4 linked regions of the Kluyveromyces lactis genome follow. The protein of the gene in region 1 purifies or fractionates together with the protein of each later gene. This does not show direct contact. Links are inferred from orthologs where the notes say so. Each region holds a gene or a part of one and is shown in the gene's direction. Other genes may lie near its edges. The genes, in order: RPN14, RPN8, RPN9 and RPN7.

What was found.
Region 2: the proteins of RPN14 (region 1) and RPN8 purify together in Saccharomyces cerevisiae (affinity purification with western blotting; 4 studies listed by BioGRID, with this or other methods). This does not show direct contact. The link is inferred for Kluyveromyces lactis from reciprocal best matches to the Saccharomyces cerevisiae genes RPN14 and RPN8.
Region 3: the proteins of RPN14 (region 1) and RPN9 purify together in Saccharomyces cerevisiae (affinity purification with mass spectrometry; 3 studies listed by BioGRID, with this or other methods). This does not show direct contact. The link is inferred for Kluyveromyces lactis from reciprocal best matches to the Saccharomyces cerevisiae genes RPN14 and RPN9.
Region 4: the proteins of RPN14 (region 1) and RPN7 purify together in Saccharomyces cerevisiae (affinity purification with mass spectrometry; 3 studies listed by BioGRID, with this or other methods). This does not show direct contact. The link is inferred for Kluyveromyces lactis from reciprocal best matches to the Saccharomyces cerevisiae genes RPN14 and RPN7.

The regions. Positions count from the first base shown.
Region 1 is NC_006037.1:775,771-778,810, forward strand, and holds RPN14 (Rpn14p), read left to right. Parts: upstream 1-1,189; coding exon 1,190-2,461; downstream 2,462-3,040. Other genes in the region: replication factor A subunit protein RFA1, read right to left, coding at 1-737; Golgi transport complex subunit COG7, read left to right, coding at 2,764-3,040. UniProt on the Saccharomyces cerevisiae protein: Acts as a regulatory subunit of the 26 proteasome which is involved in the ATP-dependent degradation of ubiquitinated proteins.
Region 2 is NC_006039.1:826,808-829,616, forward strand, and holds RPN8 (proteasome regulatory particle lid subunit RPN8), read left to right. Parts: upstream 1-1,301; coding exon 1,302-2,303; downstream 2,304-2,809. Other genes in the region: GTPase GPN2, read right to left, coding at 1-843; COX10 (protoheme IX farnesyltransferase), read left to right, coding at 2,719-2,809. UniProt on the Saccharomyces cerevisiae protein: Acts as a regulatory subunit of the 26S proteasome which is involved in the ATP-dependent degradation of ubiquitinated proteins.
Region 3 is NC_006038.1:62,872-66,048, forward strand, and holds RPN9 (proteasome regulatory particle lid subunit RPN9), read left to right. Parts: upstream 1-1,412; coding exon 1,413-2,597; downstream 2,598-3,177. Other genes in the region: SNX41 (Snx41p), read left to right, coding at 1-1,111; TIF35 (translation initiation factor eIF3 core subunit g), read right to left, coding at 3,112-3,177. UniProt on the Saccharomyces cerevisiae protein: Acts as a regulatory subunit of the 26S proteasome which is involved in the ATP-dependent degradation of ubiquitinated proteins.
Region 4 is NC_006040.1:1,236,985-1,239,994, forward strand, and holds RPN7 (proteasome regulatory particle lid subunit RPN7), read left to right. Parts: upstream 1-1,205; coding exon 1,206-2,432; downstream 2,433-3,010. Other genes in the region: ERP4 (Erp4p), read left to right, coding at 268-894. UniProt on the Saccharomyces cerevisiae protein: Component of the 19S cap proteasome complex which acts as a regulatory subunit of the 26S proteasome, involved in the ATP-dependent degradation of ubiquitinated proteins.

The DNA.
Region 1 (3,040 bases):
GCATTATCGTTGAACGCAGTGGCTCTAATTTCACCAGAAGAATCCAACAAATTCACATTCAAGATATGGCCCTCACCTCTATTATTTTGCCACTTCTTCAAATCACCTTTGAAAGAAACTCTGGCCTTTATGGTCCAGTTGTTCTGATATGGAGAAATTTGTTCAATGGCAAAAATAGGCCTTGAATTTTGGGATGACCCATTATTCGATTTTGCCTTGGGCACAGAACGTGGTTGTGGGGCTGGAATGTTGCTGGTACTGGTAGGAGCCATCTTAGAAGTCATAGACGATGTAGCAGACGCAGCTGCCGATGCAGCCTCGGATGCTACGGCCCCGTTATCAGTCAAAGTCACCAACTCATTCATATGTTCACCCAAATAAGCATCGACAAATTCTGTAGCATTATTAAACAAATCTAACCCACGGCTAACAATCTCTATCTCATCTACTAACAACACAAACTTCTTCTTCTCTTTGATCACTGCGCATTCCGCGTTCAACACTTTGAAAACATCCCCTCTTTCTAATTCTGCCTGTTGAGCCGCCTCTGCAGCTTTGTTCCTCAAAAGAGCCTTGACATGGTATTTTCCATCGTTGATGAGAATCAAATTCTTTTTAGCATTAGTCTCAGTCTTCTTGGTTTGAACAACCTGGTAAATACCGCCGGTAGGATTGTTGTACCTCTCCGGAATACGGAAAATATCCAATAAATCACCTTCCAATAGTTGAACACCCATCTTCTTCTACCTATTTTAAAGACAAATAGCAGAACAAATCCGTTACTTGACTCGACTTGGCCTGGGTTTCACCTGTAGCTAATCTATAACTGACCCTGAGATGGCGTTGTTTATTTACAGTTCGCCTTTATATACTCTGCGGAAATTCGAAAATTTTTCGTTGAACCAAAATAAAAGGGATAAAATCGAGGAAATTGCTTTCGCGTTTACGCGTCTTACACGTGAGTATCACATGACTATCTTTCAGGTGGTTATTCACGTGACTTTGGGTTTTTTGAGCATCAGGTACGTATTACCTTCATTGATGATGAACAACTTAAACACCAGCAGTGGATTTCTGATTTATGGATTTTGAGCAATAATGTCAGCAGGTTTCCTGTGGATATCAACTGTCCAAACAATTTGCCCGTTTTACTGTATACCTTCCTGTTATTTTCCCTTAGTTAAATATAATGAGAGTTGAGGAATGGAACATTTGCAGTGAGTTTGATGATATTCTTGATGATGTGAGAGGAGAAAAGGTTGCCAGCGATAAGATATGGGTATCCAGGAGCAGTGGTGAGCCATTATACGATTTGGAATTTGATGTACGGTTAGATTCCAGGGGTAATGTTGGGTTTCATAATGCGAATACTTCTGATAAAATTTCCTTTCAAAGGGTAAGGCCACATTTATATGAATTGACAGGACCTGATGCGACAGCAGGACATTTAGCTTCGTTTCAAAGTCCGAAAAAACGGTTCCAACTGCCTTCTGATATTGGAGCTGTTGATTTAACAAGTATAGATATCACGAACGTGTTTGACCCCGAGATACGTTTGGTTTGTGGTGATACGAATGGTGGCATATATGTGCTACGGAAGAACACCGGTACCAATTATAGCGGTCCATTACAAGAAGTGATAAAGTTACCGGAAGCGCACGCTAGTCACATCACCAAGACCCAATTTTTCCCTAACGGCCATGGATTCTTAAGCAGTAGTATCGATATGCGCTTGAAGATTTGGGATGCTTCAACCGGTACTGAGCTCAGAACTTTCATAGGTCATACTCGGTCAGTCAACGATTTTGCCATGGTCGATAGAGGTAGAAACTTCGTCTCTGCAAGTTCGGATGGATCATTAAAACTATGGGAATGCTCAACTTCAGCATGTGTCTTTACGCTCAATTCAAACGATGGCATAAATTGTATTTCATTGGCCAATTACCAGGGAAATCCAGCGACCACATCGTACAATGCATTGGACCATAGCAACGAATACAATACTGAGGGGAAAGCTGTATTTGCTGGACACGACTCTGGTATCATCACGTTTCATGATATCTATAACAGAAAGAAGATATTGGATATTTTACCGGCAAGTAAATCTGCATGTGTCACTCTAACGAGCCAGCACATTGCAGGTGATGACCATTACCTATTTGCTGGCTATTCGGATGGTACGATAGTATCATGGGATACTCGTAACGTTTCCAAACCGGTGGAGACGCTCCAGGTAAATGATAATGATTCTATCTCAAGATTATTCTTGGCACATAACACGTTGAACGTTTCTAGTGGGGTCCAATTTGCTTTCAATGTACCTGTTTTGGACGGGAAATTCAATTTCAATAAGCTTACACATCTAATTCGTCCTTATGATGAAGTGACTGATTTCTGTGTTGATGAATCACATCAAAATGTTTGGTGCGTCGGAAAAAATGGTATGCTATTGAAATACTGATTTGTCGTCCAGTCTAAAAGAGAAGCAATAGAATTGTAAATAGAATTATACCCATATATAGTCCAATAAATTATCCATACGTTGCTCTCATCAATGTGTATAGTAATATCTGCTTTGATATTGTATCCTTCTCTTTTAAACCTTTCTTACTGTGCATCTGAAGGCACCAAAAATCATCTTGAAATCTTAACATCAAAATGAAGAAGTTAACCTTCTACCTCTAAATATGATGATCATGAAACACCCAAGTAAGCCACCAAATCACCTTTGAAGGACGATATAGCACTATAATTTCCTACACGATGAGTAGAAGGATATCTGGTGCTAATGACCCTTTGCTAGACATGTTTTTCGATGATGATTTTGTACCTCAAGCATTCGTCGACATATTGTTATCATCTTTCCAGACAAGCCAATTAGAAGAATTGAAGACCAATTGCTCTAGTCTACTTTCAAAAATGGACTATTACAGTGGGCATATTACAAAAGAACTTGAGTCCACTATTCAGGTGCTTCAGAAGCCTGCTGAACTTATTATATACGCAGCAAATGAGGAACAGCAAGGAACAACAAAACTAG
Region 2 (2,809 bases), on another chromosome or scaffold:
GCCTTGTCTACTAGCTTCTGCCCATACTGTATCTCCTCCTATTTCGCTCGAACCAAATATGTATCCGTTCGCTTTATCTATAACACTTTGTAAATTGATCATCGATTGTTTGTCATCAATGGCAAGGACCTCGAAAGAAACTAAATTGAAATCAGAGACCATTTCACCGATGGTTTCAGTGAGCCTTGAGTATTTTCTCCCTAATACACCCGACCCTTCCTTCTCAATAAGTGGATTTAGATATTCCAATTCTTGGACCTCCGTGAAGTAATCCAATCTGAAAGGCAACTCTCCGTATCCCTTTAGCATATCGATCTTTGAGAAGACATTGATGTGTGGAAGATCCATCATTAGCATCGATCTTAGTGCAAGTAGAAGGATCGAAACGTACTGCGAGGGAGAAGTAATGTAAATACAATCGATCAAATTCACAACACATAGCCTGATATCCAAATCCTTCTCTAGTCGTTTGAAAATCTTGAACAACGCCGAATTGTGTGTGAATAATTCGACTTGCCCGGGACAGTCAAAGACTAGGTATGCTTTCTCCTCTTGTACTAACGATTTGATCTGCAATATGAACAAATCGATCGACTCATTTAAAGACTCTATCGCATACATTAACCCACCATTCGGACCCAAATGCTGTTCTGACATAATCTCTTCTAGCGTGATATAGTCTCTAATATCGACCGAACACGGATACGGGAGCCGATGGTTGGCTGGATCCATATTTATCACTTGAACATGTCTTCCGATTGCATTGAAAAACTGGGAACAACCATGACAGTACGTTGATTTACCAGACCCTGGAGGTCCAATCACAATTTGGCCAAATGGCATCTTTATATTTATTTTCTAGAGTATACCCAAGGTCTTCGTACAAACCGTAAGCCGTCTTGTCTCCTCCCTAACCGTATAAACATGTCCTTTCATCTCATCTCATTGCACAGAATCTTTTTAATATTAAGCATTGAATTATGTTCGCTTCGCAGTTCCTAATATTTCGAGATTTGAAAATAAAAAAAATGAAATAGCATTAAGAACATTAGTGGCAAATATTAATTTGACAAAAATACCTGAAATAATGGGGCACTTGAAGATCTATACACTCCTGAAAGCGAAACTGTGATAATACTTTGAGATTGTACTAATTGAATTACCGTGACCAATCTAGCGTTTTGGGGTTTACTTATAAAAGAGAGTCAAAAAAAGTGCTTAGTCAATCTGCATTTCTGATAAGCTAAGAGAATAGAAATCAAACTATAAATTGGAAACAGCTTGGCAACAACCAATTGATAATGTCTGTACCTTACGAACAAGTTTCAGTTGCACCATTGGTGTTACTTTCCGTATTAGACCATCATCAGCGTACAAATACTCCGGAGAACAAGAGATGTTTAGGTGTCATTCTAGGTGATAGTTCCACGGCAACCGTGAGGATAACTAATTCGTTTGCGTTGCCGTTCGAAGAAGACGAGAAGAATCCAGACGTTTGGTTCCTAGATCACAACTACATCGAGACCATGAACGAGATGTGTAAAAAGATCAATGCGAAAGAGAAGCTAATTGGTTGGTATCACAGTGGTGGGAAATTAAGGGCTTCTGATTTAAAGATTAACGAGTTGTTCAAGAAGTACAGTACCAACAATAATCCCGTGTTGTTGATACTCGATGTGAAACAAGAGGATATCGGACTACCAACGAACGCATATGTGGCTGTGGAACAGATCAAGGATGATGGTACTTCGACTGAGCGGACCTTTATACATATCCCAAGCACTGTGGAAGCAGACGAGGCGGAAGAAATTGGTGTTGAACATCTACTCAAAGATGTCCGTGATCAAGCTGCAGCTGGTTTATCTATAAAGCTAACTAATCAATTAAATTCTCTTAGGGGCTTGCAAAGAAAATTGAAAGACATAGTAGCATACTTGGAAAAAGTGGCAAACAACGAGTTACCTGTGAACCACATAATTTTAGGAAAATTGCAAGACATTTTCAATCTTCTTCCAAACCTCGGAACCCCAGATAAAGATGAAATGATCGGCTCAAGTCATGTCTTAGACAATGTTACCAACAATTTGGAAAAAGCCCTCACAGTTAAAACCAATGACGAACTAATGATCATTTACATAAGTAATCTGGTCAGAGCCATAGTTGCATTTGATAACTTGATTGAGAACAAAATTCAAAATAAGAAACTTCTTGAAAAGCATTCGAAAGTTGAAGTAGAACAAAAGGAGGATGCCACTAATGACGGCATCCCTGCTGAGTCGAATTCGGTACCTACTAAGAACTGATGCAACTCTTTTAATAAACCGAAACGAAAATAATCAAATATAGTATTTTCTGTATACTAAGTTACAACTACGCCATATTTCCTAAAAATTTAATGAGAATTTAAATGAAGCAGTATGTATGTCTATATCTAAGATCAGCACCATTGGCATCGATATGGAACTGATCAATGAATTAAATGGATCTCCGGTACCGGTTCGTTAGTTCTCGTCAACCTCTTCAGATTGATTCCTTCTAATATATCAAATTCGCATCTCTTCATATAAGAAAATTTTATGAAGATTAAAGATCGAGGAAATTGTTCATTGCGCACAATTTTGAAGGTAAAAACCATTCTGAGACAACAGTGTATTTACCAGACCGAGGCCCAGTTAACCAAGATAATATATTCCATCAACTGCTAGTTGAAGATTGAGTATGTCACTGGTAATCCAGCCTCTACTTATGAGGGCATTGAACCCCAACTTATCCAGTATTTTAATATCGGGGCGTGGGTTTAGTTTGATTC
Region 3 (3,177 bases), on another chromosome or scaffold:
GAATCATATCGTGTTTCAAAAATTCTTGAATCCAGAATATTTCTGGAAGGAAGTTTTAAATACCCCACCGATCTCAATCCTACCAATGAATAATCTTTTAGCGCCTCCATTAAATCCCACGAAACCAAGCCCCATACATTTATTATTGCCAACACCTACGGTGCTGACAATGCGTAAGCATGAACAATTGATAGGCCGGAACGATGTGATGGAGATCAAGTTCGCGGATTACGATTCAGATCTCATCAGGTACAAGGCGATCCTACAACCTTTGAACAAGACCGTTAGAAGTATAAGGTCGAATATTCAAACTTATTCGGCTGTTTTATCTGAACTCGGCGCGTATTTCAACGCGTTCAGTCTAGAGAATAGCGTGTTTCAAGTGAGTGCATTATTTGAACAAATGAATCGTCTATCGATGGGAATAGAGAAGACAGGTCAAGCAATCGATGTGAATTATGTTAGTGCAGAGATATTTAGTGAAGCAATCATGATCAGTCTAGAAGAGGGAAGCAAAGAAATGCTTCAGTTCATTCATGAAGCACAAAGAGTTCTTCACTTCAGAAATTTCAAGCAAGAACAATTTTACACAATTGAAACTACGATAAAGAAGAGGAAAGATAGAATCCGTGAATTGAAAGAGGCAGACCTACAAGCTGTACGATTGGGCGAGGCATTGAAATTAAATGCAGAGGAATCACCCACCGTTGCTCAAGTTATGGACTCCATGACGCGTAAGTCAGCAAACAAGAATCACACGGACAAACAGATAATGGGGCTTTTCAGGTCATCAGCATCTCCAAACAACAAGTCTGGATCTGATTCGATTTCAAGTGAAGTCGAACCTCATCTTCTAACTAAAGACGAACGGGTTGTACAGGTAAACAAACTAGAAAAGGAACTTGAAAAACTGAATGAATGTTTCAAACTCATCGAAAAGGACTTACAACAAGTCAATGAGTCAATGGATAACTCTTTGAATAACTTAGAGAAATATTTCCATGAGAAGTGGTTCCTCATTTTCCGCGAACTAGCCCACAATATAACATCATGGTTAAAGGATTGTTCAGAGTCTTGGAAAAATGCCAAACAGTCTATAGATAGCATATAAAAGGTTTATATCTCAAAAAGAAAGGCATGAAGTATTGCATTGAACTACATTATTTGATGATGAAAGTGCAGATGGAGATGATTTGCTGTCACATATCTAGTTCATCCACTTCTCACAGCATTTGTTTGGAGAATTGTCATTATTAACGACTTTCATGCTTCGATTGACGTTTTGTAAATATGAAATATATAGATCGATACACCTTCTGAAATGTAAGGTGGCGAACAGAATATTAAAGATTATAGATTAAGGCATACATCGCACGACTAACAGCACTTCAGCAAGCTTAAATAGTCAAAATATGACACACGAAATTGACACCATATTATCTACATTGAAGCAGGAAGTCAATAGTGAATTGGCCCCATTATTCGACGATTTTGAAGACTTGTATGAGAGGAAGCTATGGCATCAGTTAACTGAGAAGCTAGCGATTTTTTTCCATGATAGCAAATCAGAATCGTTCAGACTTCGCCTTTATACCCAATTTGTCAGTAAGTTCATTGACAAGATAAACCAATTGAATGTTGTTGAGTTTTTGTTGCAAGCATTACAAGAAAACGATGACACAGAAGAATCATTACAATATCTAAAGGATCTTCAAAAGGAATTCAAAGAAATTGATGAAAAGAAGCAAAGAAACGATGGTTTAAAACCTCATGTAAATGGGAACTTGTTGTTAGATATTGAGATTGCTCGTGTGAAATTGGAAAAGGGGGACCTAGTTGAGGTCAGAGACATCCTAGACGCTATTGGGAAAACACTTGATGTTCAAGATTCGGTACCTCTCAGAGTTACCGGTGCCTACTACTCGTGTAACGCTTCCTATTACCAAGTAAAGAAAGACTTCAACAATTTCTATTATACCAGTCTTTTATATCTCTCAACAATCACTTCGGAAGAACAACAGCAGCGATTGACACAACTCGAACAACAACAATTGGCATACAATTTGTGCATTGCAGCATTGTTAGGTGACAATATCTATAATTTCGGTGAACTACTTCAGCATCCAATTATTTCAAGTATTTCAAACGATAAAGAATACGAATGGTTATTCAGATTCTTGAACGCATTAACTGAAGGGGATTTCCAAAAGTTTGATCAAATTTCAAAAGAAAGAATTCCCAAGGTACCAATCTTAGCTCAACATGAGTCATTCTTGAGACAAAAGATTTGTTTGATGACTCTAGTAGAAAGCGTGTTTGCAAAGTCTATCAGAACGTTGTCTTTCCGCGATATTGCAGATGCCACATTTTTACCTATCGACAGTGTTGAACATTTAGTAATGAGAAGTATCAGCTTAGGATTGTTGAAGGGATCAATAGATCAAGTCCAACAATTGGTTACAATTACGTGGGTTCAGCCTAGGATCATCAACCAAGAGCAAATTAAAAAAATGAAAGATAACTTGATAAAATGGCAAGATGAAGTGTCGAAATTGGGTAATAAGATTGAAGGAAGGGGTAAAAGTATTTGGGTATAATGCTTAAGTATCGTCACATATTATATACTACGTACATCCGCTTAATATCTATGAAAAACGAAATCCACCAACATGTTTCATTGATCGGTTTGAATTTCTGAAAGAGTTAGACGATATATCTTGGAGTTTGTAATATACAGGTAGATACGTAACACACATAGTACTCGAATGTAGTAATTATACACATATGCTATTGTATCGTTCGAGAGCAAAATGGGTCAAAGAATGTCATATAATATAACCGTATGATGCTGAGTGATATGCTCATTTGTTCAACCAGGAAGTAAGATTATTAGGATACACATACGTCACGCTACGCAGAGATATCCCATGTTATGAAAGGAATGGGATAAATTGTAGGGAACAAATAAGCTGTAAGATAAGATGCAACAACTTTGAAGGTAGAAGTAAAGAGACCTTGGTATTGAAATAATGGGTTTAGAACTTAGTTTTGAAGTAGTTTTTCTCTTCAAAAAATACTATATCAGTTTGATCAGCGAGTTCTTACAGTTTATCATTCTTCTTTCTTTGGTTTTGGCTTAGACCATTCTGCGTGTAACATGAAATTCATGAAACCTCT
Region 4 (3,010 bases), on another chromosome or scaffold:
ACCACACGCCCTATATAATTTTGATGTTCCTTTCTTTGACAACTTTGCCACCATACAATAGAGCATCCACACACGTGACTGACAAAAAACACGATCCCACCCTCAAACACTAAAAAAAAAAACTCGAATTTGTTCAGTGTTAACTCGTCGAAATAAAACACGTCTCTTCTTTGAATCAAAATTGGTTATCTGTTTACCTTTATGCTACTTAAGACCACTATATATCGCTATTACCAAGTCAATTGAGCGAGGAACGAGGATATAATAATGCTATACTCTATTGTTTCAGTTCTATTGGTGTTTATCAGTGGATTCTGTGCGGCAGAATCCAGTAACTATGCACCATTTGCGATTTCATTACCTGCATTCTCAAAAGAATGTTTATACCATGACTTGATGTCTGCTGACGACGCCTTAGTGGTAGGTTACCAAGTGTTGACTGGTGGCAACTTTGAAATCGATTTCGAAATCACTTCCCCAGATGGATCCGTCATTATCTCGGAGAAACAAAAGAAATACTCTGATTTCCTATTGAAATCGTTTGGTATCGGTCAATACAAGTTCTGTTTCACAAACACTCACGGTACTGCGCTGAAGAAAGTTGAACTTACGTTAGAATTGGAAAAGAGGACTATGGGGTCCGAGAAGGAGAATCCAGAGGATGTGATCACGAACAATGCAATCGAAGAGATCGACAGAAACTTGAACAAGATCAGAAAGATGATGGACTACCTGAGAGCCAGAGAATGGAGAAATATGTCGACTGTGCAATCTACAGAGTCCCGTATTGTATGGCTATCCATTTTGACAATGGGTATCATGGCCAGTATCAGTACTTTACAAGCTACCGTCGTCCATTTCATGTTCAAAGATCGTCAAAGAAACTATGTTTAAAGGAAAGAAGGCGTGTTTTCAAGAGACCGCTTCATATAAGTATGTACATATGCGTGGATAGAAATACGTAGTACAGCGTACATTGCACAATGACATCTTAAGGTTACTGGATCCTGTGAGGAAAGGCTCACAGGCTTTCGGTATATGTGTGAATATCCGGGTAAGTAATTCGTTAACAAATTGTAAGAACTAAGACTTAAACACATCTAATATAGGAAGAACACAATCATTTGCCACCATCAAACAGAGGGGAACAAGGCATCAAAAGCTGCTTTAGCGTACCAGGGAAGTTACAATTCGAAACAAACGTTATGTCTGAAGATACTGAAGTTCAATACGTGGATCCTAGTGTGAATCGTGTGCCAAATTACGAGGCATCCGATCATGCTTTTGTCCTTGGACAAGGGAATCTCTCTCATCTACATGAAGCCTCAAGGGATGCTTTGTTGAAACTGATCAGAGAAGATCATATGGCTCCATATTATAAACATGTGTGCGAAGAGTTACCCTCGGGAGCCATTGAGTGGGATCAATCCTTTTACGATTCGTTAGTGGCGAAGAACGAAGAAGAGATTAAGAAGTTAAAGGATCATTTAACTGAAATTGAAGAGAAAGACGAAGGTGAGTTGGAGAAGGCTCAATCCTGGATCAATTTAGGTGAGTATTATGCAAAGATTGGTGATAAAGACAACGCCGAGGAAACGTTGACCAAGGCCTTGGATAAAGCTGTGTCTACTGGTGCCAAGATCGATATCATGTTAACTATAACCAGACTTGGATTCTTCTACAACGATCAGCATTACGTGAAGCAGAAGCTAGAAGGAGTCAATGCGATGATTGAGAAAGGTGGTGATTGGGAAAGAAGAAATAGATACAAGACTTATAAGGGGATCCATTCGATGGCCATCAGAGATTTCAAGACCGCTGCGTCCTTACTAGTCGAATCGTTAGCCACTTTCACTTCTACCGAGCTTACCTCGTATGAGAACATCGCTACCTACGCGTTCGTTACTGGGTTATTTGCATTTGAAAGGACTGATTTGAAGGAAAAGATTATCGATTCGCCTGACTTGCTAGCGTTGATGACAACGACGCCAGCGTTACAATCCATATCCTCCCTTTCCATTTCACTTTACACTTCCGAATATAAAAGTTATTTCCCATATTTGTTAGAGACCTACGACAAAGTGCTATTGCCCTCCAAATATTTGAACCAACACGCCGATTATTTTGTAAGGGAAATGAGAAGAATGGTTTACGCTCAACTATTGGAATCTTACAAGACGCTCTCGATAAAATCGATGGCTGGTGCATTCGGCGTCTCTGAAGATTTCTTAGACAAAGATCTAAGCAAATTCATACCAACGAAACAACTCAACTGTGTCATCGACCGTGTCAACGGTATAGTAGAGACAAATCGGCCAGATAACAAGAACGCTCAATACCAACTTCTCGTAAAACAGGGTGATGGATTGATTACAAAACTACAAAAGTATGGTGCGGCTGTTAAGCTTACAGGCACCGATCGTATAATATAGTGGTAGTAGTAGCAGTATAGTAATTATACAGAGTATATAGCTCGAACAAGTATTATTTCGATGCGATGATAAAACCAACGATAGGGTCGAGACACTAATCTTTTGCTTTGTAATGAGAAACCGAAAAAGAATGCGCCTCAAAGACTCTTAGGGCTACCCTCATTTTAGACCTCTTCACCTTACAATTCTCAGTATCGCTATACCGGATTCTGATCGCCAGTTACGTCTTTTGCTATGGGCTGGAAATGGATATTTAACGTTGTCTTCTTTAACGGGTTCATAGGAAGTTCCGTAAAGGTTTTGCTTTAATAGCAAAGCAAATAGCAAAACAACCAAGAAAAGTGCACAGAGGTCGCAGCGCTACCCAACAGAGGCCGAGTGTAAGGATTTAGTACGATACACTACGAGAAAATAAGGGTAGTATGTGTTAACGACGCAAACGAACAGAGGAGAGAGGAGACTACTACTTCCTGGATTACTTCCTGATGGAGTTACCGGATTATCGAGAGAAAGAGGGAGAGATAAACACGAGATACCCTCAATGTTGCTTTAAGGGTATTACGGTGGGTACAGAAGAC